Styela clava: one gene and its partner. The protein of the gene in region 1 interacts with the protein of each later gene in a pairwise test. Links are inferred from orthologs where the notes say so. Each region holds a gene or a part of one and is shown on either strand. Other genes may lie near its edges. The genes, in order: AP-3 complex subunit delta-1-like and vesicle-associated membrane protein 7-like.

Region 1 (16,918 bases):
GAAGAAATTTAAAATATTCAATACAAGGATGATCGGAACCAAATAATTTACTATTCAGGATATACATAAAGTCATAAAGTCCTTTTACAATTTCAATCTTGTTATGAACTCAATATATCTTAACCAGGTTTGTTTTATTTAAACAGTGTTTTTTAATTCAATTTATACACTTTATATTCCTGCCATTAGCTGCACCAAGCACATCAAATTCCTTCACTTAATTCAATTTATGACACAGGGTGTAATAAATTGAATAGGTAATGCCGAACCAGAAACGGTTCTGATCATTCAAAAATATAATAGTTTCTCATCTATCAGTGATTGACTGCTTGGACAGAGACTTATTCAGAGTAAAGCACAAACGAGAATATCGGTCAGAGACCGAAGACTTATCGATCGAAAGTTAGGGGATCCACCAAAACAGCGCTCATACTCCATAGTGACACCTTGTGTCCCATCACTAATTAATTAATAACTCGTTAATTATACGACATAATTCATCCAAAATCAATAGGCTTCTGGTACGACATATGATGAATGCACATGCAAAATCTGGAGCAGATTCAATCTCGCTTTCGTGAGATATCGCGTGCATCTAACAGACAGACAGACAGACAAATACCTATCAACATACTTACCGATTAAAATCGATAAGTAATAAATAAAAACTAAGAACCAGGATGTGTTGCAGATTACACATATCGGATTAACGTCTTATGTCTCTCCGCTTATAATCCAAAGGCAGGGTTACTCAACTGGCGGACCGCAGTCCGAATCCGGACGGGTATTCGATTCGGACCGCGCCTAATTCCTTTTTTTGGATCATTAGCCCCACTTTTGAAATTTCCTTTTATAAAATCACTTTTATAGATTTAAATATATATGTGAAGAACTATAACTCCATAATAAACAACTTCGATTAGCTAATAATCATTAGTCGGCCGAAAAAGGATGCCGAAATATAATTTCTGAAAAGACCAGACCCAAATATTTTTGAAGTTTTGTATGCGGGTCATCAGTAAAAATAGTTGAGTAGCCCTGACCTAGGGTGTATTACATTGAGTAGACTGAACCTGAATGATTGTGATACTTTGAAACTAAGCCCTTCAATAAGCAGTCTTGTTCTGATGAAAAACATACACACCTTGGTCAGGGTGTGATGAATTGGATAGGGAATGCTGAACTAAAAAGAGCTCATTCAAAAATATCATAGCTTTTCACCTATCAGTGATTGATTACTTGTTCAGTGTAAAAAACAAATGAATACAAACTAAAAACTAGCAGATTACACATCTTGGATTCAATTCTTATGCCGTTTCCCTCCTCAACCTGAGTGTAAAAAATTGAGTAGGCAATGCTGAATCAGTATGATTTCCATCCTTTATTAAAAATAATCTAACCCCTAACTCAGGGATGGGCAACTTCTCCAGTCGGCGGGCCAGATGTGGGAAAATGAAGTCCTCGGCGGGCCGGATTATTACAAAAAATACTTCGATATCCAACCTCTGTTAAATGCTCGACACTCTCTTGTCAATTTTTCGTTTCTTGGGATATTCCATGGTTAATAAAACTTAATATAAAATCTAATTTCTAAAATCCATTTATATTTAGAATCTAAATATAAATACATCTGATAACAGTAGTGGGGAATGTTTACAACGCTCTCTGCTTTGACCTTATATTGTTTGTTTAACAAGTGTTTGTAACAATTGTTTGTTCATTAGAAAATTGTTTATTTCCCAAGCTCGCACTGACAGTGCGGTGAGAGTAGAGCGATCGGCAACTTTCAGGAATGATGCGTCGGACCATATTACAGAGTGTGGTTGGATACAGTCAGCGGGTCGTTCAAAATTCCGGGCTGTATGTTGCCCACCCCTGCCCTAACTCAACAGTGATTGCTTATACTGAGACTTTTTCAGAGTAAAAAGTAAAAAAAAAATTACACCAACCTTGATCAGGGTCCTCCAGCTTTTCTTTTAATCTTGGAAACGCAGGTCGAAGAGCGTCAGGATAAGCAAGGAATATTTTATATGAAATAAGGACGGCTCGTTTGCGAATGTAGGGACGAGTGGATGACATCTGAAGAATAAAGATTTTTTATTAATTATCAAATCGGGGGTTATCAATCTTTTTTGTAGAGGCATTTCAGAGGCATAAGAATAGAGGTCCCTGTGTAATAGTATGAATTGTATAAAGTATAACTACATATTTATCTACATAAGGTGTCCAAAAAGTATCGCCTGAGTTTATAGTAAAACAGTTAAAAATTTCTTTGTCTTTGTTTATTAATAGTTCTTATTGTGCTCGTAGTTCTCACTTATCAATTTATCATACTATAAAATTTATTCGAACTTACAGTTGTTATTATGAGCGATATTTTTAATTGTTATTACTAAAAAATCGAACAAATTTGTATATATTTAAGCAAATCTAATACTGGCAAAACAAAATGATCTTTAATAAAGTGTAGCAAGTTAATGATATAAGTAAATTAGCAAACCTAATAAAGGTATTTGGTTGTATTTAAACAATATATATATATATATAATAATTTAGACTCTAAGATTTAAGCGGATACTTGCGGAATTTCTGTGCTGCACTGACGTAACCAGGGTAGAAAACTACTGAATTAAGTTTGGCTCATGTGCAAAATAATATCTGTCCAAATTCTGGTAATTGAGTAACTACAGGCCTCTGCCTGCATATTAGTGTATGATTGAGACACTATAGCATTGCCTGTACAACTTTGATCAGAAAGTCATCAAAAAACTCACCAAAGCCAGAATATCGTTGACTAAATCTCTTGCTAAATCCGGAGTAATGAAGCATGACAGTCCGCTGAGAGCGACTCCTGTATCGTACATTGTCTGCGATCCGAGATCTTTTCGAATCATATTCGTTGTCAACATGAGAACGTCGGTTTCAGAGTGGAATGATTGAGATGCAGCGAAATATCCGATTCTCTGAAACAGAAAAGAATGATTAATTCTGTGAGGCGTTTTCGCAGTCTAGCTTTGTGCGATCAGGTACCCTGTCATCCTATGGTTGTGTGTGTGGGTGCGTGTGAGCGTGTGTGAAATATTTCCATTATTTTAGGTGAGTGAACACGTACCACTTCTTCTAGGCCAGTGGTTCTTAAACTTTTTCGAGCGCGACCCAAATCTGAGTTTTATGAATACTCGCGACCCAATCCTAAATAACGCAAAATGTGTTTTTAATGTTAGTACAGTTTGACTCAAATACAGACAACTATTTATTAGAAACAGTCCATTGACTCAGTGAGATTGATGAAACTGAAATTTCCTTTTCATTATATCTTCAATACACAGCTCTATTTTACATAACGCAATACGCAAGTTGTCACGGGTATCGAGGCGATTGCGAGCTTAGTTTTGATAACCGTCAGTGCCAAATATCCTCGCTCGCACAAATGCCTTGTCGCGAATTGTAGCAACAGAGGCGTCCGCTGTCCGTCGCAAACACGACATCCTAGCTGGCCTTCGGTATCTCTCGCAATATACAACTTTTTACTCATCAAATGTGCACACACCGCTTCGTTCGCGGTAAATGGTGCCTCGAGATGAAGTCACATTTTTTCTAGATATTGAATAATCTAATGTCGAGAAGCGAGCTTTTTCATTGCGTCGTCTATTACAATTTACAATACCAAAACGACACCCATTTTTGGTTATTTTAATCCACTAAGACGACATTCCACGCGGTCAACACAACGTTGCATGGTTACCGTTACCATAAAAATAATACACGTGACTGGCATATCAGAATTGTGATGTAACAATGAGCTCAAGACAGTTCTTTCCGTGAATGAAATTTTATATTCCATTATTTTTAAATACCAGAGTTTGGAAGCTAAATTGAAACATTGGGAAATCTGAAAATTCGTCCGTCTCCTCTTAGATTGCCCTTGCATTAACGACCTTGTCGCGACCCATTTTTAAACCTTCCGCGACCCATGTTTGGGTCGCGACCCATGCTTTAAGAACCACTGTTCTAGGCAATACCTTCCCTCTTGTATACATTCAGTACGTTTTAAACCTTATCTAAGGTTTTGTTTGCTCTCCTGATTTCTTATACTTATATTTATCTGTATTAGTTGTCATAATGAAATGAATGCTTGACAAGACAGAGTACAAATATTTGTTAGGGCTGAACAAAGCCTTCTGTAAGCAACTACTCAAATATGAGGTGCTACAACTTTATCGGAAGGGCAGCGATCTTTCATGTTCAACTTTGGGTACCTCCGTAGTGCATGCGTACCAGGTAGTCCCTGCCCATAGGCTTCAGTCCCTTTACAAAACTTGATGTAAAGGAGGCGAACAAAATTACCTCCATATTGGTACACACACTCCTAGAGTGCCCAACATTGTCTATGTAATTCAATTAGGTGTTTTCTTAATACAGCTGTTTACTAGGTAAAAGAGACTGTCATGAGATATAAACAGCTTTACAGCAGTATCTAAATAATTCAGACATGATTGGTAACTTCTATGACAGGATAGCCAGAACCAAACAGTTTATCATTTCAACTACATTCTGTAATAATAATTTATTCTAAGCCGAATAATTTTTAATATAAAACAGTCAATTTCCATTTAATGAGATTGAATACGATAATGTCGGAGAGAATTGAGATGATTAATGATTTAATTGGCTTTCTCTTTTATAAAGTTTTAAGAAATTAAAAGTGTGAAAACTGTGAGACATGAATTGCTCAAAATGAATCTGAAATGAAAATATTTCTAAAATTTTTACACTGAATGATAGAATCTGCATTTACTTATGAATATCTACATTTTCCTACCCAAAATAAATTTGTGAATTAAATGCAATGCAACCATCGTACCAACCTTGAATGTGAACTTTGGTGAACTCATGACTTCGATGATATTGAAAGCTGCCCAACTGATGTCATACCCAAGCATTTGAAGCTGAAAAGAATAAGACAAAGTTAGGTATAGAGATGGATGTATCGTCCCATACACCATTTGAATTTCCTACCTCATACAGGGATATTATGCTTCCATATAAGCAGTTCTTTAGATATAGGGATGGATGTATGATCCTAATTACCATTTGAATTTCTGTATAGTGCTATACAGAGCTGCTATTGGGCTGACATAAACAGAAGGTTGATAATATGGTCCCAACCACCATTCAAATTGCCTCCCTGACTTGACTGCCATATAGACAGCAGGTAGGAATCGGGATGGATATGCGGCCCTACTCGCCATTTAAATGGCTTCCTCCATAGCAGGCTGCCTGACTGCCATATAGACAGCAGATTAGGAATAGGGATATGGCCTCCTCTATACAGGGCTATTGTGTTGTAATATAGACAGTAGATTATGGAGTATATTATGACCCTAATTGCTCGAATTTGAATTCGCTTGTTTTAATTAAACATGAATTCGCTTAAAGGGAACTCGGTTAACGAAAAGGCTTCTCTTTAATTCATAATATTAACCGGTGGAGCGCTTTCTCGAGTATCTATGCCGTTTTAAATGGGTTATATGAAAGGCTAGGGCACATAACTTGTGAAAATCGGCAAAAGCACTTTCGCACTTTTTTTTTCGACTGCGAAGCACTTTCGCACTCATAATTTGCTTAGAGTTAACACTGATGTGGACCCCATCGCTATTCGAATGGCCTCCACTATATAGGGCTATTGAGCTTCCATATAGACAGTAGGTTAGAAATGGAGGTGGATATAATATATCGAACCATATTATGGTCTCATAGATCAGGGCTACTCAACTATTTTCACCGAAGATCCGCATGCGAAAATTCAAAATTATTTGGGTCCGCACTTTCCAGAATTTATATATCGGCATCCTTAAACGCACACTTCCTCGACCGGCTAATGATTATTAGCTAATCAAAATTGCTTATTATGGTGTTATAGTTGTTTTCATATATATTCAAAACTATAAGTCATTTTATAAAAGGAAACTTCAAAAGTGGGGCTAATGATCTAAAATAAAGAATTAGGTGCGGTCCGAATCAAATACTCGAAAGGTTCGATTTCGGACCGCGGTCCGCCAGTTGAGTAGCCCTGTCATAGATCATTTGAATGACCACCCCTGCAATAGGCTATTAGGTTGATATATAGACAGTAGGTTAGGAATAGCGATGGATGTATGGCCCTAATCGTCATTTGAATAGCCCCCTCTGTGGAGGGCTATTGGGCCGTCATACAGACAGCAGGTTAGGAATAGGGATAGATATTAGGCCGTGGCATAACAGCTGGTTTGGTTTTTAGGGCAGTTATACAAGATGTAATGCGACGTATTATGTGAAGAATTGCCTTCATAAACTCATAACTTTGCTCAGATGTGAGTTTCCTTTACTTCTGAGTGAGGACAACCTTACTTTGAGGAAATATTTTTTAAAAAAAAATAATATATTAACCGGCAACTCACATAGATAAGCTTGTTAACAGCATTTGCCTTGATTGCCGCATTGTCTTGCTTCAGTTCACTTTTGATTTCTTCAACACAACCAGCGATGTAGCGAGACTGAATTACAAAAAAGTATGTTCACACTTTGGATAGGTCTCAATTAGGCTTAAGTCACTCTATTCGAGATCAACTTTAGTCAAGATTTATCAAACACATACTCTGAGTTGGTCATCAAAATGAAATGGCTCGAAGTTGACAAACCCCCAATGAGAATTAACTCAGTGATTGACTCGCCTCTAGTTGGAATCGAGTCACCTTTAATCAAATACTCAAGGTGACTCAAGTTATCTGAATAGAATGACTCGTAGACTAACTCTCAGTCCAGTCTGGAATTCATGACCTTTTTCCATGAGAAATCGGGTGCAATCAGTGACTGCAGCACTCCAAATGTCTGCATCCGCGTGCAAAATTACTAAAACTGCGTGAAAACCTAGATTCTCAGCGTGCAACTAACAGAATGGCCATATCGGAAAAACTTTGAATAAACAAGTGTGATAGGCTATTATTTTAACGGGGTGCTTTGACGCAGAGTTCCATCTAGCAAATGACGAAGGCGATCCGATTGCATATGCCAAAGGTCAATTAATCGAACAATTATGTTCAGGAAACAAAAAAGTCTCGCATTTCAAGAGAGGCCCATTTAGCTGTTAATCGGCGTGGGTTATGGCATGTTCTTGATGCCGAAAGGTCAATTTGTAATATTAAAACTCATCAGCACTGTTTATTGGTGGCTGTTTCATTCCACCACCCTCCAGACTGTCATATATAACGGTGGACAATCCCAAATTTTCCGGCGTGTAAAATGGAATTTCGCTCGCATGCATTTTGAGGGAGCATTAGCAAACTCAGGTGTGCACCTGCCATGGCATCCAGTCTGGTCCTCAGTAAGACTCAAATGTGATAGACTTAACAACAAATACTAGGATAACCTTTGACCTTACTCGGCTTGTGACTCTGGGTTTCAGTGCATATAAATTCACCAACAATAAATTTTTAGGGGGGGGGGGGGGGAAGTAGTTAATAATAAATGCTACTAGTTTAATTAACCACACAGTCATATTTGATAGTAGGTTCATGATTTTTTTTCTAAATTCAAGATATCTTGAATAAATAAAATGATAGATGAAAGAATAAAACTTTTCCATTATAAAATCAGAACCTTTCCAATTCTGCCTCGCCAACCCAATTTTATAATAAATGATTGATATTGAGTTTTAAAAATTAAAATTTATTCCCTGTCCATAACAGCAAGTCTCTGTACATATGTGCGAATTTTTTTCTGGTATGGTACTGTCCACCCAATTTATCACATAGGAAATGCATATTTGATTTTCAGCAATTTTCCCCTGGCTGAGAATTGCATTGCAATGACACAAAAAAAAAATTCAGAACACAAACAAACAAGACACAAACCTCCGACTCCTTATGATTCCGAATTCCTCTGACAAGATCCTGCATATTCTTATCAAACATTCGATCCAAACTTCCCTTCACTTTTTTCAGTGTAAGAGCCATCTTGCTGTTTTGTTCAGCTGAAACTCCTATTGATAAATCCCAACCAATTTTAATGGTGTTTTTTGCTGATTTAAAGACTAATTTATTTAGATTTTATTTTCAAATTTTACCATTGTAATTCCTGTAAACACTGATTAAATACAGACATTGGAAATATGCAGTTGAGTGATCCAAACTTCCATAAATTTTCCTCTTCCCTTCCCTTATAAAATATTAGACTATAACAGTATAATGTTAAGAACTGGTTCCACAATCGGGGCTCCCGAAGTATGCGAACCAAGATGGCGACATCAGAATGTAATATGTGTACTAGGTTAGGGTTAGGCCATAATTTTAGGTATAAATACTACGGGAGGCTCTTGGCTAGTCTTCGAACTGATAATAGGACTAAAATAAGGAAAATTGGAAAAAAATTATCGCCTAACCCTAACCTGTTACATTCGGATGTCCGCCATCTTGGTTCGCATACTTCGGGAGCGCCCCACAATCATTACATTAATTGTTATATATTCGTGGAAAAATTTATCATCAACATCTGAATTTTACTACCAAAACAGTCAGACAGTAGAGTTATATTATTAATATTTAAATTTGTTTCTTTTTCTTGTTTGCTTTTTTGTTTTTAGAGTATAAGTATAAGTATAAGTTTATTTCGACTCCATAATCAGCATAACAATACATTTGACAGATAAAAACAAATAAATAAAAACAAATAAATAAAAACTGATTATGAAATCAGGGGAGCAAACAAAACCTTAGATAAGGTTTATAACGTACAAAATATAAGATGGAAGGTTTTGCCAAGAGGAAGTGGTACGTGTTTACTCACCTAAAATTATTAAGTTATTTCACACACGCTCACATGCACCCACCAGCCACACACACACACAACCACTGAGAAGTTATTTAAGTAAGAATAAAACGCGATAAATTTAGGGTATACTATACAGTAAACAAAAAAAAAATAAATAAATAAATACTGAAATACTAGAAAAGAAAATTATCTGCCACACCATATTGATATTTTTGTAATGGTTGCCATTGCCAAATTGATCGATCTTCTAATCGTTAATTAAGATATAAAAGGAAGATTCTATTGAAAACATATTGCCAAGCTGATTATAGTTGGAGTCAAATTATAGTTGGAGGTAAGTTACGTCGTACTGTAGCACTCATACCGGTACTGTCGCTTTAAAATAAAATATCCGTCTATTAATCTACTTGTTACCAATACGGTACCGGTACATTGGCCGATTCGGCGTTATCTTCAGTTGTTAGCATTTCAGCATTTGCTGTGAAGTCTAAGATATCGAAAAGTCACATGAGCGCTTATCGGCACCGGTAGTTACATTTCCGCAGCGTTAAGTATCCTTGTGAGTACTTACTTATCATGTATTGAAACAGAGAAAATATCTTTTACAAATCAATGCATGAAAATGTTTAAAATCACAAAAAAAAATCGACGAAAATCAAGAAAAAATCGACCGGCGGATTGCGAACCTTTCCGCTTCATCAAGTTTCCGATTCGCCGTGGCAGAAAGGTCGTGAACTTTTATCAATAGTTTTTTGGGTATTGATCAGAGTCTAGTTTTCAAATTGACTCATGAAACTTGTAAATAGAAGGCAACAGTTCATTCTAAAAAATATATTTTATTCGTTCGCAAACATTAAAACAATACAATTTATAAAAATGAAATAAAGATTTAAAATGTTGAAGTCATCAAAGTCAATTACCACTCAAAGACAAATGCATAAATAAATAGTTGAACAGGTTTAAATAATAGGATGATTAGAAAGAAACTTTCCGTATGGGATAATTTGCATCGCGTAGCACAATAAGGGTATATTTCTCAAAGATTGACCTCCAATATATTGACGTTTATTACTTGCCAAAAATGGTTAAATATCGATCGAAATTTAACGTCAAAAATTATGATTGCCGTTATGATCGTCTAGCTCAGTGTCTTTTAATCGGAGTTCGATCAAACCTCTGAGTTTCGGTGAAGCCGTTACAAGGTGGTTCGACAATATCCTCTGAAATATTGATATATTATGAAGTTATATTTATATTATCAAACATATTATTTAAAAAGATAACTATAGTTAGATAAGATAAGTTTATTTCGACTTCATAATCAGCAAAAAGGCAATAAAACGGTTGATAAAAACAAATAAATAAAAACTGATTATGAAATCAGGAAAGTAAACAAAACCTTAGATAAGGTTTAAAACGTACAGAATATAAAATGGAAGGTATTGCCAAAAAGAAGTGGTGCATGTTCACTCACCTAAAACTATTGAATCAAATCGTACACACTCGCACACACACAACCATAGGGCAATAATCAAGTTAGAACTAAGAGAGAAGCTTTCAATCAATCAATCATTTATTTCATTACTCTGACAAAAAAGCAAAACAGCACAAAAAGTAGACGAACAAACAAAATGCAGAGATACCTGGAAAGCGAGCATAACTTAAAATAAAATTAAAAAACATCAAAGTACGCGCCCGCCCACCAAAAAAAAATTCCAACAATACAAAAAAACACGATTCAGAATCGTGCAATGCTTTTCAAGGGATCTTTGGATAAATTATATTATATGGCAACAAAAAATAAACACGTAAAGAAGAAATTAGAATAAAAGATAGGAAATATAATAAAAATAAGAATTGCTCGCCACACCATTTTAATAATTTCATAAAAATTCCCAAACAAGAGTGAACAGTATTTAATATAAGGACAAAAAAAAAGATTTCGCCAAGCTGATTATAATTGGAGTCAAATGCCAAATTGCCGACCAAAATTGCCAAAGTTGAGTGCATGAAGAGGTGGGATAAATCTTTTCATTTACCAAGGACACACCAAAATATTGCCAAATTGTAGTCCAGATTACATTAATTATTAAATATTACTGGTAACAGTTAAAAAGTATAATATAATTAGAATAGGGGTTCACTGATATCGAACTCTCACGTATAAACAACTCATGGACAATGTTAATTATGTGTTGTTTAGCGCAGATATAAGTGTTAGTGAACCTGCCAATGTCTGTTATAGTTGACATGGACAAACTACGACCCGTGGGACAAATCCGGCTTTTTGAGTAATTCAATATGGCCTGCATGATGCTGTTACAAACAAATTAAAATCAGAATTTTGATGTTCTAGCTAAAAATAGCTCTAGGAATTTGTTGAGATTTCGATTAAATTTAGTTTTGGCACGAGGCTTGTTTCCCACTTTTTCTTTTGTAACACTGCCAATAAAATTCTGTTCATGATATGTAACTTTTTACATCACACTTACGCGGCCCGCCAGTCAAGATGGGCAACATTTTTGACCCCTGGTTCAAAAGCCTTGCCCACCCTTGCTGTTGTAGTTGACAAGAATCTTTGAAGGCTGATACCTAAATGAATGGAGACATCAACGTTTTCAAACCTTTCAGCTTCGTGAGTTGCAATTTTATTAAGATTTTTTCGACCCGTATGACTTGTACAACAAAAGCGTCTTCTCACAAATACAAGTCAACGCCATTGTGGCCTAACAATGATTTTTCGACACAGCGTAATGATATCTAAGATTAATGGTCGTGGTGATACCAAGTTACAAGACGACTGAAACATTGCAATATCTCCCGGGCTGTTTTTTAGATGTTTTATAGTAAGATCTAGATAGGATAGGATTTACATATTTATCCAAGGGGAAGGAAAGCCCCTAAGACGGCTTAATCATATGGCAAACCACGGCCTCTTGTCCGGTTACCATTCCAAGTCGGGGATGGGATTATTTAGCCAGTTTTGGCAAGCATACCTTGATGGCAGAAGAAATCGGCCAGCAGTTTATCAACTCCGAATGATCTTAGATATCTGCTATGATGTTTACAATTTGGTATCCTGAGTCAGAGTCAAAAGTTTCCGTTCAGTTATGGGTGGTTCACGTAACCGCTGGTCGGTTACGGCTTCCTCCACCACCAAGTCCATAAGTATAAGTATAAGTTTATTTCGACTCCATAATCAGCAATAGACGATAAAAAAATAGATAAAAACAAAAGTAAAAGTAACTGATAACATGCTTCCGAACATGCTTCCGAAAACAAACAATATAACTAATCCCATACCTGACTTGGAATGGTAACCGGACGAGAGGCCGTGGTTCGCCATATGGATGAGCCGTCTTATCGGCTTTCCTCTCCCCCGGGATAAATATGTAAATCCTATCCTATGGATCGAAGTTTTTTTCCCCAAATCGTTTTAATGGCGGCTAGATGTCGCTACAGATCCAGTGCAAAACCATTTTCGAAGTTTTTTTAGATGTAACTTATCTGAATATTGCAGGATACAGGACGATAGATCTTAAAGATCAATACTTGTGTAATAAAATATGTGGATACGAATGATCAATATTATGGAATTTTTTATCTGTATGTAATGATCTATGTTATTATTTTATTTAATATCAAAAAAAAATATGTGGCTACATTAAATATACTGATATAGGCTAGGTAATTCGACTTGTTTTGTTGTCTACCAAGTCCTACAAGAGTGGTGACTCTTCTACGGCCCATGGGCCGGGGCCACGGCCCATCTAATTTGGCCACATAGCTTGATGGGCCACGGCCCCATCGGGAAAAATTCAATTATCTTACTGAAATTTTCAATTTTTACAGAATTGTCAATATTCGAACCGAAAAAAATTGCGAGATGCCACCAAATTTTTTTCTTACGATAAGCCTTTATATTTAAAATAAGCAAAATACCAAGCAACAGAAAAGAATACTCCTGTAGTATGTGTACCACCACTGTGAAGCTAGCAGCACTTTCAGCCAGAATATTTTTATACATTGAATATAGGTTCCACGCGCATATATTGTTCACTTATAAGGTAAATATGAAAATTGAAAATGCTGATCAAAATATAATATTGGCACGAAAATAGATGAAAAATTCTTAAACTGAATGAATACATTAAATTTAACAAGAAATTAGTGTTTAAAAAAAGACTAACTAAGCGAAAAATGAATTTTCAGGTATTCCGCAAATACGAATTTTCGGAAAATTATCCTTTTCGGAACCTCGATTCCTCGAAAACCGCCAATAAAGGCAGCACCACGACACATTTGGAAAAAAGCAGATACCCTATAAATTCGATTTTTCTATAACAGAACAGTAGCAGTACGTTTTGGCTTGACCATATATATTACCAAACATATCGTGTAATCTAAATTTTAATAACGGCATGGACGTAACAAATTCAAATTGATTTTGTATTTCAAATAAATTTGCTAGATAATGGATAAAATATCATTTTCTTTTTGTCACACATTAATACTGTACATCTTTTAAACTTGGAATACGTTGCGGGAAGTATAAAACAGCAAAAAATCATTTGCGACTCCTAGTGAATTCTGTCCTGGATTACAAAAAATTATCGTTTTTAAAATGGCGATTTTTCGAAAACCGCCAATAAAGGCAGCACTACGACATATTCGGATAAAAGCACATACATTATAGATTCGATTTCATTATGCCAGAACAGTAGCAGCACGTTTTGACTTGGCCATATATAATACCAAACATAGCGTATATTCCTCGATTTTTAAAACAAAGGTACGTAACATATTAAAAAAAGGTTTGTATTTCAACTAAAGTTGCAGGATAATTGATCAAATATCTTTTTCTCTTTGTCGCACATCAATACTGTACATTATTAAAGTTAGAATAAGTTTCAGAAAGTATAAAATAATAATAAAAAAAATTTTGCGCACCCCCTTGAATTAGTTTGAGAATTTCAAAAATTATCGTTTTTGGATTGGTGATTTCTCAAAAACCGCCAATAAAGGCAGCATCACGACACATTCAGAGAAAAGCACATACCTTATAGATTCAATTTTATTATGTCAGAACGGTAGCAGAACGTTTTGACTTTGCCATATATAATACCAAACATAGCGTATACTCTTCAATTTTATTAACAATGTGGACGAAACAAATTTAAAAAGGAATTGTATGTCAACTAAATTTGCTGAACAGTTGATAAAATATATATTTTTCTCTTTGTCACACATTAATACTGTACGTCTATTAAACTTAGAATGAGTTGCAGAAGAAAAGTATAAAATACCAAAAAAACATTTTACGCCCTCTCGTGGCTTCTTTCAAAATTTCGAAAAATTATCGATTTTGGAAGGGGAATTTCTCGAAAACCGCCAATAAAGGCAGCACTATGACACATTCGGAAAAAAGTATATACCCTATAGATTTGATTTCACTATAAAAAAACAGTGGCAGCATGTTTTGACTTGGCTATATATAATAATACCAAAATAGCGTGTATTCTCAGTTTTATAAACATTGTCGACGTAGCAAATTTAAGATGGATTTGTATTTCAACTGAAGCTGCTGGAAATTGATCAAATATATTTTTCTCTTTGTCACAAATGAATACTGTACGTTTATTAAACTAAGAATTAATTGGGAAAGTTTAAAATATAAAAAAAAAACATTTTACGCTCTCTATAATGGGTTCTTTTCTGAATTCCGAAAAATAATCGTTTTTGAAAGGGCGATTTCTCAAAAACCGCCAATAAAGGCAGCACTACGACACATTCGGAGTAAAGCAGATACCTTATAGATTTGATTTCATTATGTCAGAACAGTAGCAGCACGTTTTGACTTGGTCATATATGATACCAAACATAGTGTGTATTCAAAATGTTATAAACAATGCAGACGTAACATATTTAAAAACCGTTTGGTATTTCAACTAAATTTACTAGATAATTCATCAAACATCATTTTCTTTTGGCATACATACATACTGTACGTCCATTAAACTTGGAAGGAGTTGCGGAAAGTAGGAAATACCGAAAAAATCATTTTACGCCCTCTTGTGGATTTTTTTCGGAATTTCAAAATAATATCGTTTTTGAAGGGGCGATTTCTCAAAAATTGCCAATAAAGGCATCACTACGACACATTCGGAGTAAAGCAGATACCTTATAGATTTGATTTCATTATGTCAGAACAGTAGCAGCATGTTTTGACTTGGCCATATATAATACCAAACATAGTGTGTATTCAAAAAGTTATTAACAATGCAGACGTAACATATTCAAAAAACGTTTGGTATTTCAACTAAATTTACTAGATAAATTATCAAACATCTTTTTCTCTTGGACATACATATATACTGTACGTCCATTGAACTTGGAATGAGTTGCGGAAAGTATGAAATAACGGAAAATCATGTTTCGCCTTCTTGTTGATTATTTTCAAATTTTCAAAAAATTATCGTTTTTGAAATAGCGATTTCTCGAAAACCACCAATAAAGGCAGCACTACGACTCATTCGGAGTGAAGCAGATACCTTATAGATTTGATTTCATTATGTCAGAACAGTAGCAGCACGTTTTGACTTGGCCATATATAATACCAAACATAGCGTATAATTTTCAATTTTATCAACTATGTAGATGTAACATATTTAAAAACGGTTTGGTATTTCAACTAAATTTACTGGATAATTCATCAAATACTTTCCTCTCTTGGGTATACAACAAAACTGTACGTTGATTAAACTTGGAATTAGTGTGCAAATCTTAAAATGCCAAAAAATGATTTGACGCCCTCTTGTGGATCCTTTTCGGAATTTCAAAAAAATATCGTTTGTGAAAGGGCGATTTCTCAAAAACCGCCAATAAAGGCAGCATTACGACACATTTGGAGAGAAGCAGATACCTTATAGATTCGATTTCAATGAGTCAGAACAGTAGCAGCACGTTTTGACTTGGCCATATATAATTCCAAACATAGCGTATATTTTCAATTTTATTAAAAAATGTAGATGTGACATATTTAAAAACGGTTTGGTATTTCAACTAAATTTACTGGAAAATTCATCAAATACTTTCTTCTCTTGGGTATACAACAAAACTGTACGTTCATTAAATTTGGAATTAGTGTGCAAATCTTAAAATGCCGAAAAATGATTTGACGACCTCTTGTGGATCCTTTTCGGAATTTCAAAAAATTATCGTTTTTGAAAGGGCGATTTCTCGAAAACCGCCAATAAAGGCAGCACTACGACTCATTCGGAGTAAAGCAGATACCTTATAGATTTGATTTCATTATGTCAGAACAGTAGCAGCACGTTTTGACTTGGCCATATATAATACCAAACAGAGCGTGTATTCAAACTTTTATAAACAATGCAGACGTAACATATTTAAAAACGGTTTGGTATTTCAACTAAATTTTCTAGATAATTTATGAAACATCTTTTTCTCTTGGACATACATATATACTATTCGTTTATTAAACTTGGACTAAGTTGCGGAAAGTATAAAATACCAAAAAGCATTTTACGTCCTCTTGTAGATTATTTTCAAAATTTCAAAAAATTATTGTAATTGAAATAGCGATTTCTCGAAAACCGCCAATAAAGGCAGCACTACGACACATTTGGAGAGAAGCAGATACCTTATAGATTCGATTTTATTATGTCAGAACAGTAGCAGCACGTTTTGACTTGGCCATATATAATACCAAACATAGCGTATAATTTTCAATTTTATCAACTATGTAGATGTAACATATTTAAAAACGGTTTGGTATTTCAACTAAATTTACTGGATAATTCATCAAATACTTTCCTCTCTTGGGTATACAACAAAACTGTACGTTGATTAAACTTGGAATTAGTGTGCAAATCTTAAAATGCCAAAAAATGATTTGACGCCCTCTTGTGGATCCTTTTCGGAATTTCAAAAAAATATCGTTTGTGAAAGGGCGATTTCTCAAAAACCGCCAATAAAGGCAGCATTACGACACATTTGGAGAGAAGCAGATACCTTATAGATTCGATTTCAATAAGTCAGAACAGTAGCAGCACGTTTTGACTTGGCCATATATAATTCCAAACATAGC
Region 2 (16,483 bases), about 9.2 Mb from region 1:
GATATATGTACGATTCAAAAAATAATCTATTTCAAACTGTCAGTGATCACCTGGTATTGATGGTAAGAACGGAAAACAGTACGTTTCGTTTATTTGTAAATCTCACATTGCATGCGTTCATCTTGTCAAGAACAAAAATCGGTATTTTGTAATACAGGCTAAAGATTTTTCTATGTCATTTCAATACGACTACACTTGATATTGATAGTAGTAGTTAGCAATTTCATCTTTTCAACCGACGCGTAATGATTTAATTACATCTATTTCTAATTCCCATAATAATTTTTGTAGCTTGCTTAATCAGTTAATCTATAATAAATTGGATGTTAGCCAAAGACAAATTTCCTACTTCGCGGAGATTGCGGAGTTATTCTGTGGCCGCTTTATATTCACGTCATACACTCTATTTTTGGACACGAAATGTACATATATATGGATCGTTTTGTTATTATGTCGTTGTTCTTCTTTATCATGCTTTCTTTTTCACATAAACCATCAGACCAATTGATTTGGAATTATTAGTGGTTGAAAATTGTATTTTTCGCTAGAAGGATATTGCTTTTATTTAATCCAAAAAATTCTGTGGGCTCTATGAGATTCATTTTTTTGCGTGCATTGACGTCAGCAAAATTACGCACCTTGTGGCGGTTCCGCGTTCGCGGTCACGCAAGGTCGTGAAGTCTACTTTGTTAGATTGCATACCAGTAGGGTTACCATTTTTTTTGACTTCAAAGCGGGACGCCTCCAAAGACACGACCCCTTAGCTGTGACCCTGTAACTTTACAGTTTCCGATTTTACTATATAGGCCTACATTTAAAGCCATCCCGGCTGTCGTCATTGACCATATTGTCATCGAACGCATATTCTCTGTCTGAATATCGGGTTCAGTTCAAAAAATAGAAAGGAATAGACGCTAACGATACAAATGATCCGAATTTAGATTTTTTATGTACAGCAAAAGGAATAAAAAATAATGAAGTAGTCTGCCGTTTTCAAGCATTGACATTTAGCCTACTTATTCGCCCAAACATGCTTTTCTGTGATAACACCTTCAAAAAGACGAAATAGTCTGCCGTTTTCCAGCATTGAGATTTACTTATTCGCCCAAGCATGCTTTTCTGTAGATAACACCTTCAAAAAGACGTTGTTCAATGTTACATTCACGTGAACGTCCGAACAGGACCAATTAGAATTGATTTTACATGTGATACGTTCGCTGACAATGTTAGCGAGTAACAACGAAACAAAATAACGCATTCACCTTCAGTAAGTACGCTAGCGTTGCGCTACACAGCAACAACAGTAACGAGAACATGCTCGTGTTTTATGCTGGATGGCTGAATGCCAAAGCGGGACTTTTGGCTGACTTGTCGGGACGGCGGGACAAGACGCTTAAAAGTGGGACTGTACCGCCTAAAGCGGGGCGTATGGTAAGCTTACATACCAGGTTTTTTTTTCGTTGTGGCATTCGTGTCCATATATTTGAGCATCGCTGTAATTATTTTTTTTTTCAACTGAAAGTGATCAACATCACGTTTTCTAGAAATCTGATTATTGGTGGTAATTTTCGATAGATATTTTTAAATGCGTTCCTTCTCCCCTGTTTATACTTTAAAGAAAAGTGGGTAAAACAGCGCCCCAGTAACCTGACGCTTTTATTCGTTTTAAGACAAATGCCGGGGCTCTGATCAAATCAGGCATCGGGTTCAGGATAAGCTCCCAAAGTCGTGGTTCAACCACAAATCATATCAACACTGTAATTTAGGTTTCTTGGGACACTGAAGACAAATACCTGACAGATGTTGGGTGGGGTGGATCATCATTTGTTCTTCCGTTGAATTTAAAAGTAGGAATTGAACAATCTCAACCAAATGGAATTTATCGCCTGAGTGAGAATCGAGATATGTATATTGTGGAGAAGAAGAGACAAACCTATTTGAAAAGTGAATGTGAGTTCAGTTCACAGTCTAAATCGAAATTCGGATCGGTGCTAGGGATCTTTAGATAATTTTGTTTGTAAAATGAAATTATACAGTTCAAGGTATCATGAAATTAACATTCGTATGAACGCATATCATTTTTTAAAATGGTCCGAAATATTTAGCAGTTTACGAATATCTTACAATTGATAAACAATGTATAGGTGGACTTTTTTCTGTTGTGTAGATGATCAACTTTACTTCAACAGTAAAGCCGAAAAAGATTGCGTAAAACTTGATGAAATTCGCTTCAAAGATATTCCGTGGAACATCCTATTTGGTGTGGAGAAAGCTCCGTGTACCTTTGAAGATTGTAAAGTCGGGCACGACTATGCTCAAGATGAAGAAAAATTCATGATATCGAAACCAATCGTGATCCGTCAAAACAGGGAGAGAAGAAAATTTTTTGTGAAAAATTTATATTACGAAAAGAAATATATCGACCCCGTAACACTGAAGTTAGAGAGATTTCAGAAGTGCTCGATGGAAGAAATGTACGACATTCTGAAAAAAGAATTTGGAATTATTTTGAATTTTAAACTCAGTATACCATTTATTGAATGAGTTGTACTTTGGGGAGTACTTTGTGTTATTGATTTGTTTTAAATATTAAATTACATTTACATAACAATTTCTTGCAGTTCATTATTATTTGAATTCACAGAAACATATTTAAGACTGAAACTCAAAGACTAACTGAGCCTTGGCCAAACAGCTGTTTGATGCAATAATAGCTACCATGATCAAACATGCCAAGAACCACTACGATATTAATTTTTTGTAGAATAAACCAGCACATCCTCCTGGCTGATGAAGATATAAACATTTTAACTTAAATCAAGATGTTTAAAAAAATCCATTTTTGTGCTGTTGTGCAACAACTCGCCTCTGTAACATTTCACCACGTTCTCCCTCCCATAAATACATAAGGACTAAATAAGACTGTGTTTTTACAAAAAAATAAAAATAATAAAATGCGATATTTGATGTAATTCAATTATCAATAACTTTTAACTGGTTTATTAAAATTACTGATGGATGTTCGAGGGTCACATTGGAGCTCTTCAAGTGGCGCAAGTTATTGCTCATTAGTAGGCCAATTGCATATTATTGGAAGTATCACAGCTCAAAATTTGGCAGCATCTCCAGGCCACAATTTTAAAACTCGCCGATGACAAATAAGCGCATGTTTTTTATTTTTAAGGTCATTTTTGGTAAAATAAATGTTATTCATAAATGAATATTTTGTATTAGTAATTTAAGTTTTCGACCATAAAAGCATTACAATGCGTTTAGTATTTGAAACTATACTCACGTCGCGAGGTTTCACCAAATTTCTTTTTTTCAAATTTGGGTCGCTTGCAAGAAAAAGGTTGGGAACCACCGCAGTAGACTATCAGTACCGCTGTCTTCGCGAATGTGCCTGACCACCAGAAAGCAACAAACGCAATTTTTGATGACGTCATCGCACACAATAAACGAATCTCTTGGAGCCCACAGACATTTATGAAAGTGAGAAAATAAATGCGAAAATACAATTTTTAACCACTAAAAAATTCAAGGCAACTATAGTTATTGAGAAGCAATTTTCCCTACATTAAGAAAAAGAATAAAAGAAAGAAAAATACTGACAAGATGAACAACAACAACACAATAACAAAACGTTCAATAGGTAGGTTTACCATATATCTGGTACAAAAAACCGGGACAGTGCGGATCGGACTAACTTTGGTTCGATTCTGAGGCTAAGTAATATCTGAATCTTCTATCATATCTTTGCGAGTAGATACCGGGCATTAAATTAGCTATAAATTAATTTGTACGCGCAGTCGCCAAACATCATTTATAAAAGCAGTCAATTATTTGAAAATTTCAATAATCGACATAAGAGAGACACCTGCGGTTGCCACACTGCAATAGTTGTACTCATAATGACAATATAGCAAAATGATTTCTGCTCTGTTACTTGAACAGAGTAAGTTTGAAAAAATTATAAATTTTGACAACAAGACTTTCTACTCGAACGGGCAAAGTATCCACGGAATGATGTTGAATTTAGTTTTAAGGTAAATGAGCCGCAAATCCTATGCGAGTCTCGTAAAGGCTCGTTTCAGTTTTATTTTTGAGTTTGAAAAAAACATTATTGCCCCGTGTCTTTCTACGCGTCCATTTGGAATTTCGATAATTTATCGACAGGTCAGTTAACGTTGTGCGTCAAATTATCGCAATTAACATAATTATAATACCTTTCACACAACAAAACAGCAGTTCTCTCTCCCTCTGTTAACTAGTGAATCAGAGATAAATTGGATGCTTCCGTTAAGAAAATAACTTTGTAATAATATTATATGAAAAAATTGTTTTTGACTGCCACGCTTTTGAACAAGCAGCTAAGCTCTCCACATCTGTTTTGTTTTGCATTCTAGCTGGCTCTTTATTTTGTCCTATAGCATGCAAAGCATAAGATTCTTCCTCATATGGCTGCTCATATTCTGATATCTGCATGTGCATGTTTTTTGTTGGGTTTCTGATATTCCACATGCATGATCTTTTATTTCTATTTGAGTGGTGTGTTTCTTTGTGAGGGTTGTAGAAGGTATAATTTAACTCCTGTACCTATTACTGTAATTAGGCGACCAGTCGAGATATATTGGATTCTCCCCTTCATTTTGATTTGCTGTGGTACTCAATGATTTGTCTTGTGTGTATACAAAATTTTATTCTAGGTTAAGGTTCTACTGTGAAGTTAACGTGAAGGCCAACATACAAATGGTTAGTGTGGTTTGAGAGATCTTACATGGTTTGCGAAGATTATTTACCCTGTGTCCCAACCAGAATTCAAATCAGGTCTTTCAACTTGCGTTTTAAAGATAAATAACTAATGATCAATATTTAATCAAAATATTATTTTCTTCTCAACAAAAGTGTAGGGTAGTGAGTGTTATTTCCTAATATGTAACCCTTGAATATTCTACTCGAAGATTTATTTTCTGTTTTTCAGGTCGTTTGTGATGACCAATTTAATGGCTAGCTTATTGAATATAAAGAGTGTCTACAATCTACATCATCAAAATTGGCAGTCTGATGTCTCATCTATGATAAATTTGAATTGACAACAATTGCGTTACATTAAGTAAATGAAGAAATGATCCTGTGAAATAACAATCCTAATTCCTTTGTCCTTGCAGAAGTCAATATCTAAGATTGAAAAAAACCTTACTTATACCCTTGGTAATCAACATATTCCTATTCCCCGTTGTCCTACCTTAATTAATTATAATAACTTATGTCACTTGTACCTTTAAATACTTATTACAATCTGGACTATAATCTGGCAATAATAGGCTCTAGTTTGGGGAATGAAGTGGTCTACTAGCCCACCTCTTCATGCACCCAATTCTGGCAACTTTGGTTGGGCATTTTTGGCAATTGACTCCAACCAATGACATTAAACAACATGATAGGCAACTCTGACGTCACTCCATAAGACTACATGCGAAAGATTGTATTTCATGATACGCTCCAATGCACATATTTCTCGTCGCCTTTCGCGACCGTTTTCCGCTTGCTTTTGCTAATCGGCGTCCTCTTTACGTTTAGTACCTGCCTTTTTGCGCCTGTAACGTAAGAAAATAATCTCTATATCTAAGAAGTTTTGCTCACTTGGAAAGCTGGAATGACATACAAGCTGTAAAGAGTAAAATGGACATCATAGACTTTTTTTTTTATCAGAGAAGATTACAAACGCGATAGCGTAAAGATTTGTGTGGGACATTTTGCAGATAATGACAAAGTTCAAAGGTAGTCATTTTAATGTTTGCGCTTAAACATTGAAATTTCATTTAAAGAGGGTGTCATACAAAACAGCAAAACTGTTTTTACTACTCTTAACGGTGCTGTGATACAATTCCATAACACAAAGTTTGCACCTATCGAACTTGCCTTAGTAGGTGAATTTTTTGGACAAATTTATTGTGAGGGATTTCGCATGTAATTCTCATTGATTGGTGGCTGTTTATAATTCCTATTAATTGTGAATTCTGATTATACCAAAGAATTTACTGGCACCTTTTTCTTGTCAATACTCCAAGCTGAGGTAATAAACAAGACAATACATTCATGTCATGTGGAAGCAAAATATGCACACTAATTAAAAGTTTGACACATTGAGATAATACATCATTACAGAAAATACAAGTTAAAGATATGTATGACCATCACATGGTAATTAAAATTAAAATTAATAGGGGCTGTGGAGTATGAAAAGTTCAAGACAAAGAAAAGAACAAAAGTTCTCTCTAGCTCAGGAACTCTCAATTTTGCCTCCATTGCTTTGTGAAGGCCAATATATTGCCAGTGGCTGAATTGGTTTACCTTTATGATAGCAACGATTTTGTTTTTAAAACGGCAAGATTTTTTTCAATTTAATTGAAGTGATATTATTTCCCAAAGCAATGCTTGAATTGTCTAGAATAGATCAGTGGTGTCAAACTCATGGGTTTTCGAGAGCCGCATTGCATGTTGGAAATTGTAAAAAGGGCCGCAAACAGTTTTTAATAATGTATACTTGAAAGATATTTTCAAGATTTAAGTTTTAGTTTGTGACATATATTAGGATGCAACTAAACAGTTGGATTAAGTTTTATTATTTTTTTTAATTTCAAATGCAATTTCATGTTATTATTTGCATTCCACTATTATTGCAAGTTACTGTATTTATTACAAAAAATCATAAAATTCTATGTACAACCATCAAAATCATTTTTGAACAAGCTTTGGATAAGGAAAGAATAATACATACACTAAAAAATGACTCAATCTAAATATATGAACCTAAAATTAACAAAAATACTACAATATAAACTCTATGTTTTTTAATTACATTTGTCCTGACGTTTGGCCAGGATGAAATAATTTTATAGTACCAACTCTAACTAACGAGGTCACATGATCATGGGTTAATGTGGATCTTTGCGAATGTTTAATTAATTCCAGTAATGCAAAAAAGTTATATTTATCATTTCATGTATAGATCAGTAAAAAAACAAATGACAGATTTTTTCGACAAGAAATTTCGCGCCACATTGCATGGCATAGGATTGCTTGAATTATTATTGATATTTAGTAACAAAAGAGTTGTATAATTATATTAATATACAAACATATGGAAATTTTCTGTTCGAAGTTGGTCTTCGAATTTGTCATATTGACTGCTGAGCCTATTGTGTTATTTCATTGTACTGATGGAAATATGACAAATTAAACAATGTGCTTCAGAGAATTTTGTGAAATGCAGAAATATTGCAACTCCCATTTTCTTCGAAAATGCCACCTTCTTCATGTACTTTGCGTTTAATTTAATCACTCAAGTGTTTTATTCAAGTATTATTTTGCTAGCTTGATGTGTATTCTTAAACGAGTTAAAATGTGAACAAAAAAAATTAATTTTTTAAAACTACTTTCAGTAAATTGTTTTCTGTGTGAATATTCAATTTCACTTTAAAAAGTTTGAAAAATCTGTTACATTTAGATAAAAAAAAAATTCCAAAATACTTTTACAATTATTATTAAGCGTTCGAGGCCGCACTGGAAATTCTCTGGGGCCGCGAGTTTGGTCTAGATTGAAGTTGTCCAAAATATATACCAGTATTTTATCATGAATCATGATTATACCCTTTCCTGAATTTCTTCTACAGTACTACCAAAAGTTGATGGACCAAATATAACACAGGTGTAGTGAGTGACCCGAAATCCTCATTTTTCAAAGCTGTTTTAAGAATGCCTGGCATGTTTTGTGCTTTTTCACAAATAAGACCGCTTATGCAATCTTACGCATTGGAATTTTTAGTTATTTTCCTCAAGCCTTGCAGGATGTAGGGGCCATACACAACTCTACCGGAGGGTCAAATGCATTTGCATGCCTCCATAGGTTGTTCTTCTATTGCAAACATTTATGGAGTATTCTAATTATATTTCTTGGTTCTTATGCCTACATTTCATATCTCAATCTATGGTTTTCTTCACACAACACATTATTGTCACTCATAGAACCTTCAATTTCCCTGTGATCATATCCCTCATATTTTATCATGTGTAAGCACAAAAGAAGATTCAGAACAGATTGAAAGTGTAAATTAATATAACAAATAATAATAAATTTGGAATGGAATTCTTATTTTTTGCTCCTCTCTATTTAAAATTTATTTAATAACTTCCTAATCCCGATTAGAAATTTTTCTCATCTCTAATTATATATCATTTTTTTTTTTACATAGTGTATATAGTTTTTTTCCATATGTATATCCTGAGAGTGTAATATTACAGAACCTGTGTTATTAATTTATTTATTCATGTGCTTGCTTTGGGTGGTAACCGACTCAGATGACTGTTAATGGTCGTATCGTTACCACCCTGTCATCTACCGAAACCTAATTTTTCTCATTTTGCTATCATATATATATTGTATGAGTTTTCTGGTTTGACGAAACAATAAAAAAATTCTCTCTCTCTCTCTCTTGGAATCACACTGTCACTGATATGTCGCCAGACTTCTGATATCTGCTTCTGCTACAGTTGTCCTGTGAATAAATAATAGGAAATTGAGAATAGACGAATAGTTGAAAGTTTTGCTTTATGTCGGCTTAATTTCTTGATTGATATACTTACTATTTTTGCTATTGCCGCTTGTGCTGCAGGAGTCTCACAATGCTAGACAGGTTTTTCCACAACATTCACATCTGAAGAAAGAGAGGAGATTTATTAATTTTCGTTAAGAATGAATAAAGCAGTCTATATGATTTAGAATGGGAAAGCTAATAAATCCAATATCCCATGTCTATGTAAAATATGTTTTACTGAATTTGGTATATAAACCAACTAATAAAAGGGTTTAGTCAGAAAATTACAAGCATTCTTATACTTGAGAGATCAGACTATACAATATAGACCGGTATGAGTAAAATGTTAGGTGAACTTGTTAACCCTTTGATTCAATACGCAAATAAAAGTTATTGAGCAATAGTATGTTACAGAAATGAGTATATATCCTCACTGAATAAAAAATCTAACTGGAGGTGCATGAACTATTTGAAACCATAAGGGGTAAGTAAATATGCAATTTCGGCAAATGGACAACTACGTACCGTACTGAATTAATAACTTCGTAGTATTTGACAAAAGCTGGCTTTCCCACATGTACTAAACAGTGCGATGCCCGGGTGTGATATACAACAATAGTATTTACCTTACCTTTTTTCAATTTCTTTCTACCTCAACTTTACAAAATATCATTAAAATCGACAACAACTGTCAAAGCAGGCACGAACACCATTCGTGCTATTCCTTGAAAGCAGCACACATCCGCTCGTTTTCGTCTCGTCAAGTATGTGCATTGGAGCGTGCTATCGGACACGATCTTCGGCCAAAAATGGCGGAGTGGCGCATCATGTTGTTTAATGTCATTGCTCCAACTATAATCAGCTTGGCACAGCTTGGTATGTTAGTCGTTGGCTTGGCAATATATTTTTCATAAAAGTTTATCTCTACTGTTCACTCCCATTTATAAAATCTATCAATTCGGCAGTGGCAAACGTTATAAATTTATTAATATGGTATGGCAAGTAATTTTTATTTTATTTTTGAACTACCCGTATGTAATTTATAACTTCTTAATTTATAACTTCTGGTTGTGTGTGTGGGTGCGTGTGTGAAATATTTTCATTATTTTAGGTGAGTGAACACGTACCACTTCTTCTTGGCAAAACCTGCCATCTTGTATACATTCTGTACGTTTTAAACCTTATCTAAGGTTTTGTTTGCTCTCCTGATTTCATAATCAGTTTTTATTTATTTTTTTTACCAATCATTTTATTGTTTTGCTGATTATTGAGACCCGAAATAAACTTATACTTATACATGTGAAAGTATTTCCCTCCGCCTCTTGGTGTAGGCTACTTCGACTGTATGTAAGTTTGCGAAAATGTAATTTTGTATGAAATAGCTTCCACAAGAATGAATCTGCGTAGAACCTTACCTTAGTATATACACACTAACCCTTTATGTTATAAATGCCCCGTATACCGGTATAAGCGTTAGCCATATTTCTCATATCAAATAATAGACTACCGGTACTGTAGCATACCGGTATAGCCTTTGGTCGTTCGAGGAGCATCGCATTGCGCACAGTAAGGTCGCATTAGGAATGTCCCGTTATCAACAATTAGGCCTCTTTATCAACAGCGCACTTCAGCCAGTCAGCATTATGGATATTGCGGGTCGCATTACTGCATTGCAGCAGCGCTTTACGCACGAAATCTATGATGACAAGTTGGACGGGACTTGTTGATACTGTGATAGTTTCAAGGTATAGCATTAAAAAGGGATAGTTTATGTGTCCTTGGTGTCTGGATCGGCAACAATGACACGACGCAACAAAACTGGAATCCAATTATAGAAAAAATCAAAAGAGTAGTGAATATATGGAGAGCTCGAACTATGAGCATGCAAGGGAAAATACTGATTACTAAAAGTCTATTATTATCTAAATTGTGGTATCTTGCGGCTGTAATAACAATTCCAAATGATATCATTAAAACAATTGAGACCCTAGTATGGGATTTTGTATGGAACAACAAACAACCCACGGTAGAGAGGAGAGTCTGCTGTGCAAGGAAAGTTGAAGGAGGTCTGAAGGCCATGGATCTGTGTAGTCAGATTAAAAGTCTACAAGTTAGATGGATTTGGAAATTATTAAAAAGTGATGAGGCTCCTTGGGCAAAGAGAGCGAAACAATTTATAAATAGATACCATCCTAAAATAACAGTGACAAATTTAGAAATACTACATCTCTCTTTGAAAATTTTAAGGAATAATAACATTCCTAAGTTTTATATAAATTCGGTCAACATATTCAAGGAACTTGATGTAAAAACGAAACAAATTACCACTAAACAACAAATATATGATCAATACATATGGTGGAATCCAGCCTTAACATGGTTGAATCAACCAGAATTTATAAATAATTGGATAAGAGGAAACATTTTAACATTTGGCCATCTGTTCCAATATGACTGTCTTGAAATAGCAATCAAAATTTGGGGCATAAACAAATGGAGTAGTATGCGTGAAAATAAAAAACTTGATTGTTATAGGAAAGTAGTAAAAGATTCTGTACAAATTTTAAAAGCCATACCATCAGGATGGGCTAATGTGTTGAATAGTCAAAGTAATGTTCAAACAGATTCCAGTTCAATATATTCATTTGAAAAACTTCCAACCACGAAATATATGTATAATCAAATTATAAGTAAAAAGATAATGGAAGTGACAAAACAAAAAGGTTTATCAATTAAGGAATATTATGGACTGGAATTTGATATTGATTGGAATAACATTTGGGTTCATGGAATATCTAAAATTGTACAAGTTTTATGTTGGAAAATAATTCATATGGCATTACCTACTGGAAATAGAACAAGGCATTGGACAGAATATGATGATGGTCACTGTGTGTTGTGCAATATTAATATCATTGAAGACTGTAAACATCTATTTTTTGAATGCTATTATGTTAAAATATTTTGGGATTGGTGCGAGTTGCATTTTAGTGAAAATAATATTGATACCATTATTGCACAAAATACATGTGACCTGTCAGTTATTATGATAGTTGCATGTGGAAAGGCAGCTATTTGGGAATTCAGGAATCAAATAATATTTGAAGATTTGGATAATTTCCAATCAGTTATGAGAATAATTTTTAAATGTAAAATTAGAGGGATGCTGAAAAATATGGCATCAAATATGAAAAATAGCTTTTTGGAGGATGGAAGAATTGAAAACTTGTTAGAAAAGTCGGTAATGTCATAGCTTTTGATAGTACATTTTTAAGATTGACTAGTATTGATAATATTGACTGTTTTTATAAATAAAAAAAAAAAAAAAAAAAAAAAGATATCGTGGCTGTTGTTCCCGAATTGTCATTCGATGGGCTTAGACGTTGATAACGCGCCTTTTAGTTTTATTGCTGAGAAAAGGCGTTTTATCATTCAGTCATTTCATGCAGATATAAGGTACCGGTATATTATATAATAATAGCCTCTGAATGAGTATAATGAATGTTTTTTTCTTGAAGAATATTTACTGTTAAGTCTGAAAGTGTTGTCTAACTTCTGAAATTGATAATAATTTAATGTCATTTGTGTTATTTAGTACAGTAATATGTGCTTTTTTATTGATTAGGCCCTCTACATTGAGTCGGTTATTTTATGGTGATCAATAACATACTAAATATCCATATAACAGTAACAGTATATTATGAAAAAATTTTACGCCGAGTCAAGTTGCATAGTTATAAGATGTAAAATGGTCGAATAAAAATTATCTCTGGCTATTTTCTCATCTTTCCATTTAGCTATATTGTCGCAACCAATTTTGTCAGTTTACTCATACAGTCATAGTGCACAAAAACGCGCAGCAGCCATAGTGACCTTCGATGGTCATACTGCAGTACTGGCCTGCACAAAACAATGTTTAAATTGCTTTGCAATTACTGAATATTGTTTTGTATTATTTTGTAATATTAACATTGTTTGTGGAAACAAAATCTTTTTCACTCCTTTTTAATTTATATTTTAAATTTTATACCACATGGCACATTGTGCTGTTTTCGCGCAACCTATTACTGATAACCTATTATTCAAAAATACCATCTCAATTTTATAGAAAAAAAAAAAAAAAAAAAAAAAAAAAAAAAGATACTGTGATAGAAGCAGCAGTGAGTCGAATTGACTTGGTACCTGGTACTGAAATTTGCTGGGACAATAAATAAAATATCCAATCACAGCAATAGAGCCTGGCACATTATTAATAAGTTTGTACCCGGTATACCGTACTTATGAAAAGTTTTTTTTTGTTTAATTAGGAGATTGAGTTATCGTATTCAGTCTTACATCAAACTATAATGCTAAATGAAAAATTTGAAACTTTACAGAATTATATTGGGCATGGTCTAGCTCACTAGTCTATCTAAAATAAGTATGGCTCTTTTATATGTTGTTGTCGCTCGTGAGACGACAATTCTTGCCAAATGCGCAAGTTGTGCTGGCAATTTTGACGAAGTCACGGACCAGATACTGAAAAAGATTCCAGACAAGGATACAAAAATGACATATTCGCAAGGAAATTATTTATTTCATTATGTAAGAGAAAATGGAATTGTATATTACGCCATAACAGAAGATGAATTTGAGCGCTCGAAGGCGTTCCAATTTCTGGGAGAAATAAAAAGAAAGTTTCAGAGAAACTATGGAGATCTTGCTTTGACAGCTTTACCATATGCGATGGATAATGAATTTTCGCGGGAACTGTGGTCTCAAATGCAAAAGTATTCCAAACCTGTCGTGGAATCCCCCGAGATTTCAAAAGTAAAACAAGTCAACGATCAGCTTGATGAATTAAAGGGTATAATGGTGAAAAATATTGATAGCATAACAGAACGCGGAGAAAATCTCAATCTACTTGTGGATAAAACAGAAGATCTTAGCCAATCATCTGTCACTTTCAAAAAACAAAGCACTAACCTAGCTAGGAAGCTATTTTGGAAAAATGTTAAAATAACAATCGTCCTGATTGTTGTTGCAATAATAGTCATATATTTTTTGGTTTCTGCGGGTTGTGGAGGACTAAGTTGGCCAAAGTGCGTGGGGAAATCTAATAATGGTTCAAGAATTGATTGAATTTATTATTTGATGATTCGTGTAGTGAGTTTGTCATATAGTTTGCCAAAGTTTGGTATTAGTGATTTGGGTTATTTTTTTTTCATGCATTTTGAAGTCAAATTTTTGTTTTTTGATAATGGTTCTAGTTTTGTGTTGTGCATTAAGCTGAAAATAGTGGTTATAAACTGAACCTATGAATTGGTGAATTCTCTAAGTTTGTTCAATACCTCTGCTAGAGCGGACTTTTTCATTTATAGTTTTTGAGTGATACAAAAGTGCCGTCAAACTATTAAAAGGCAGATTTGGAGTATGAGTTTTACTTAACAAATACGGTTATTCTTCAATGATTTTCACCAATGAGTCATTTCCTGACTTCGTTAATGTACAAGCATATATTGGGAAACACTTATCAATTTGGTTCTGTTAAATACTGGATATTCGTTAGTCGTACATGTTATTTTTTTTGATGAGTTTCATTCACTTGCCTTGAGTAGCTCTTATTGTATTATATTTTTTCATCAACCTGAATTGTCATTATGGTTTCATGTTGGACGAATAAATAAATCATGCTAGAAACTGTGGCTGATTAGGTATTCCCCATTTACCATACCTAGTCTAATATTTACTGTTAATTCATTGCATTGGTCTGTTCAATCTGTTTCAATGTATTTGAACAACCCTTGCACGCAACTATCTCCACAAAAATTGATATTGTGTTTCATGTGTAAAGTAAGCAGTGGTGCAACGATAATTAGACTCTTGGCACAATGCATGACAGAAAGTTTATTTTAAAAGTTCAGGAAATGATAATCCTTCATATTTTTGATAAGTTTGTTTTGTTGTATTTTAGGGTATGATAGTTTTTAGTTGTGTCCTTTTGTTATGTCTCATTTTCACTCCATTAGCTGTATATTTTTTCTGTCCAGTGATCATATGATAAATAAATATAACTTGACAACCCTTTTTAAATCGAATTTCCACGAATGGACATATTCTACTAACATGAATGACTATTCAAAACTGTGTAAAATTACCATATAAAGCCCCAATTTTGATGATTCTGGGATTTCGGAAATATATTCATTTGTGAATTTCATATACTCTGAATTGTTTGGACTCCTCTGAATTGCTCTCATGCGCTTGAAACATAGCATTGTTTATCTCACTTGACTGTTTTATAAATGAATATGTCTGCAGTTATGCCAGGGGGGGCCAACCTGTCTTTGACTGAGATTGACTTAATTTTTCACAATATCTTGCGATTGACTGATGGATAATAAAGTCACACACAAAAATGAACGAGTACTAAATTTAGAACTGAACCTCAATAAGGATGTTCCGCTTCAAATCCCTGAACACCAGACACTAGAGCTGCTTGTGGATATAGCCATCCTAATTATCCCCTGCCTAGACTGGAACCCTGTTCACCCCCAGATTCTTAAAAAAGCCCGTGCGGGATTGCTCTGGTATGGTGGGCTCAGTTTTGACAGATACCACACAAGAACCTGCTGCTTAATAATGTTCATGTTTAAATGAGTGATGCTTGGATATTGGTTAAACACATATTCCTTGCAGGCATGTTGATAAGCACGGTCGACAACTCAAGACGTGGCAATCGTCCTGTTGGTCACCCCTGAGATATGTCATAGAAGTTTTTTTTGAAAGCTGTGCGACTGTGCTAAAATTCTTCTTTTTAAATCCATTAAGTTAAATTATTAATACAAGTGTTGTAGCATTTTGTAATACTCTTTATTTGTGCCTTAGTTATCTTATAATGGGTTTTAGTAGATATGGTATAAATGTAAATGATTTGAACCAAAATTCATACTAATGCTTATTTGAATGAGACAGGTAATCTAAATGCTCAAAAAAGGTTTACTGAGAGGCATCAGACTCTGATATAAATTAGATTTTATTTTATTGAAGTTGTTGAAAATTTGAAATTCTCAAATCGCAAGTTCAATCTTTTTTCGTTAAGTGTTCACTGCAAATTAATCATCTTTCTTTAGTGTCATGAACAATCAGTGTTGACTTCAATTCGTTAAAAATTCATGATATACAAGGAATTTTTTTTTTGTGGAAATTCTCTGCTGTAAATTAAAACTAAATTCTTCAAGGCTGCTTATTTAATACAGGGATGTATAAATTCCAAAATCTGTTGCCCATTTTCAATATCTCAAATCGAGGGGTATTTTTTATCAGTACTATAATATAGAAATAATGAAGTTACATTGTGTACTATCATTGCAAATATCATAAACATACTTATATATAATGTTGCTTTTTTATATAGCACTTCAATAAAAGTAGAATAAATCAAAATGGATTCTGAAGATTTTCAATTAGCAGAAGAATATTTTGCATTTGCTATCGAATTGGCAAAAAAGGTTGGCCCAATGATCCGGGATGCTTTTTACTCGGAAAAAGAAATATTGACAAAATCTTGCACAACAGATCTTGTGACGGAGACTGATCAAAATGTGGAAAAAACAATTTTAGAAGCAATAAAGAATTCTTACCCTAAACATGATTTCATAGGCGAGGAGTCTGTTGCGGGCGGACTAAAATGTAATTTAACGGACGCTCCTACTTGGATTGTAGATCCTATTGACGGAACAACTAATTTCGTTCATCGATTTCCATATGTTGCTGTATGTATTGGGTTCGTCTGGAAAAAAGAACGTCTTTTTGGTGTAGTTTATAACCCGATTTTGAATGAGATGTTTACAGCATTCAAAGGTAAAGGAGCTAATTTGAACGATAAAAAATTAAAAGTTTCAAAA

The links.
Region 2: the proteins of AP-3 complex subunit delta-1-like (region 1) and vesicle-associated membrane protein 7-like interact in a two-hybrid assay, tested with the Homo sapiens proteins (2 studies listed by BioGRID and IntAct). The link is inferred for Styela clava from reciprocal best matches to the Homo sapiens genes AP3D1 and VAMP7.

Annotation. Positions count from the first base shown.
Region 1 is NC_135250.1:30,759,132-30,776,049, reverse strand, and holds the start of AP-3 complex subunit delta-1-like, read right to left. Parts: upstream 8,121-16,918; 5' UTR 7,995-8,120; coding exon 7,893-7,994; intron 6,537-7,892; coding exon 6,441-6,536; intron 4,950-6,440; coding exon 4,869-4,949; intron 2,964-4,868; coding exon 2,775-2,963; intron 2,080-2,774; coding exon 1,950-2,079; intron 1-1,949. UniProt on the Homo sapiens protein: Part of the AP-3 complex, an adaptor-related complex which is not clathrin-associated. The complex is associated with the Golgi region as well as more peripheral structures.
Region 2 is NC_135250.1:21,519,951-21,536,433, forward strand, and holds vesicle-associated membrane protein 7-like, read left to right. Parts: upstream 1-12,915; 5' UTR 12,916-13,019; coding exon 13,020-13,718; 3' UTR 13,719-15,993; downstream 15,994-16,483. Other genes in the region: arylamine N-acetyltransferase 2-like, read left to right, coding at 1-62, 1,767-1,950, 2,168-2,544; inositol monophosphatase 1-like, read left to right, coding at 16,022-16,483. UniProt on the Homo sapiens protein: Involved in the targeting and/or fusion of transport vesicles to their target membrane during transport of proteins from the early endosome to the lysosome. Required for heterotypic fusion of late endosomes with lysosomes and homotypic lysosomal fusion.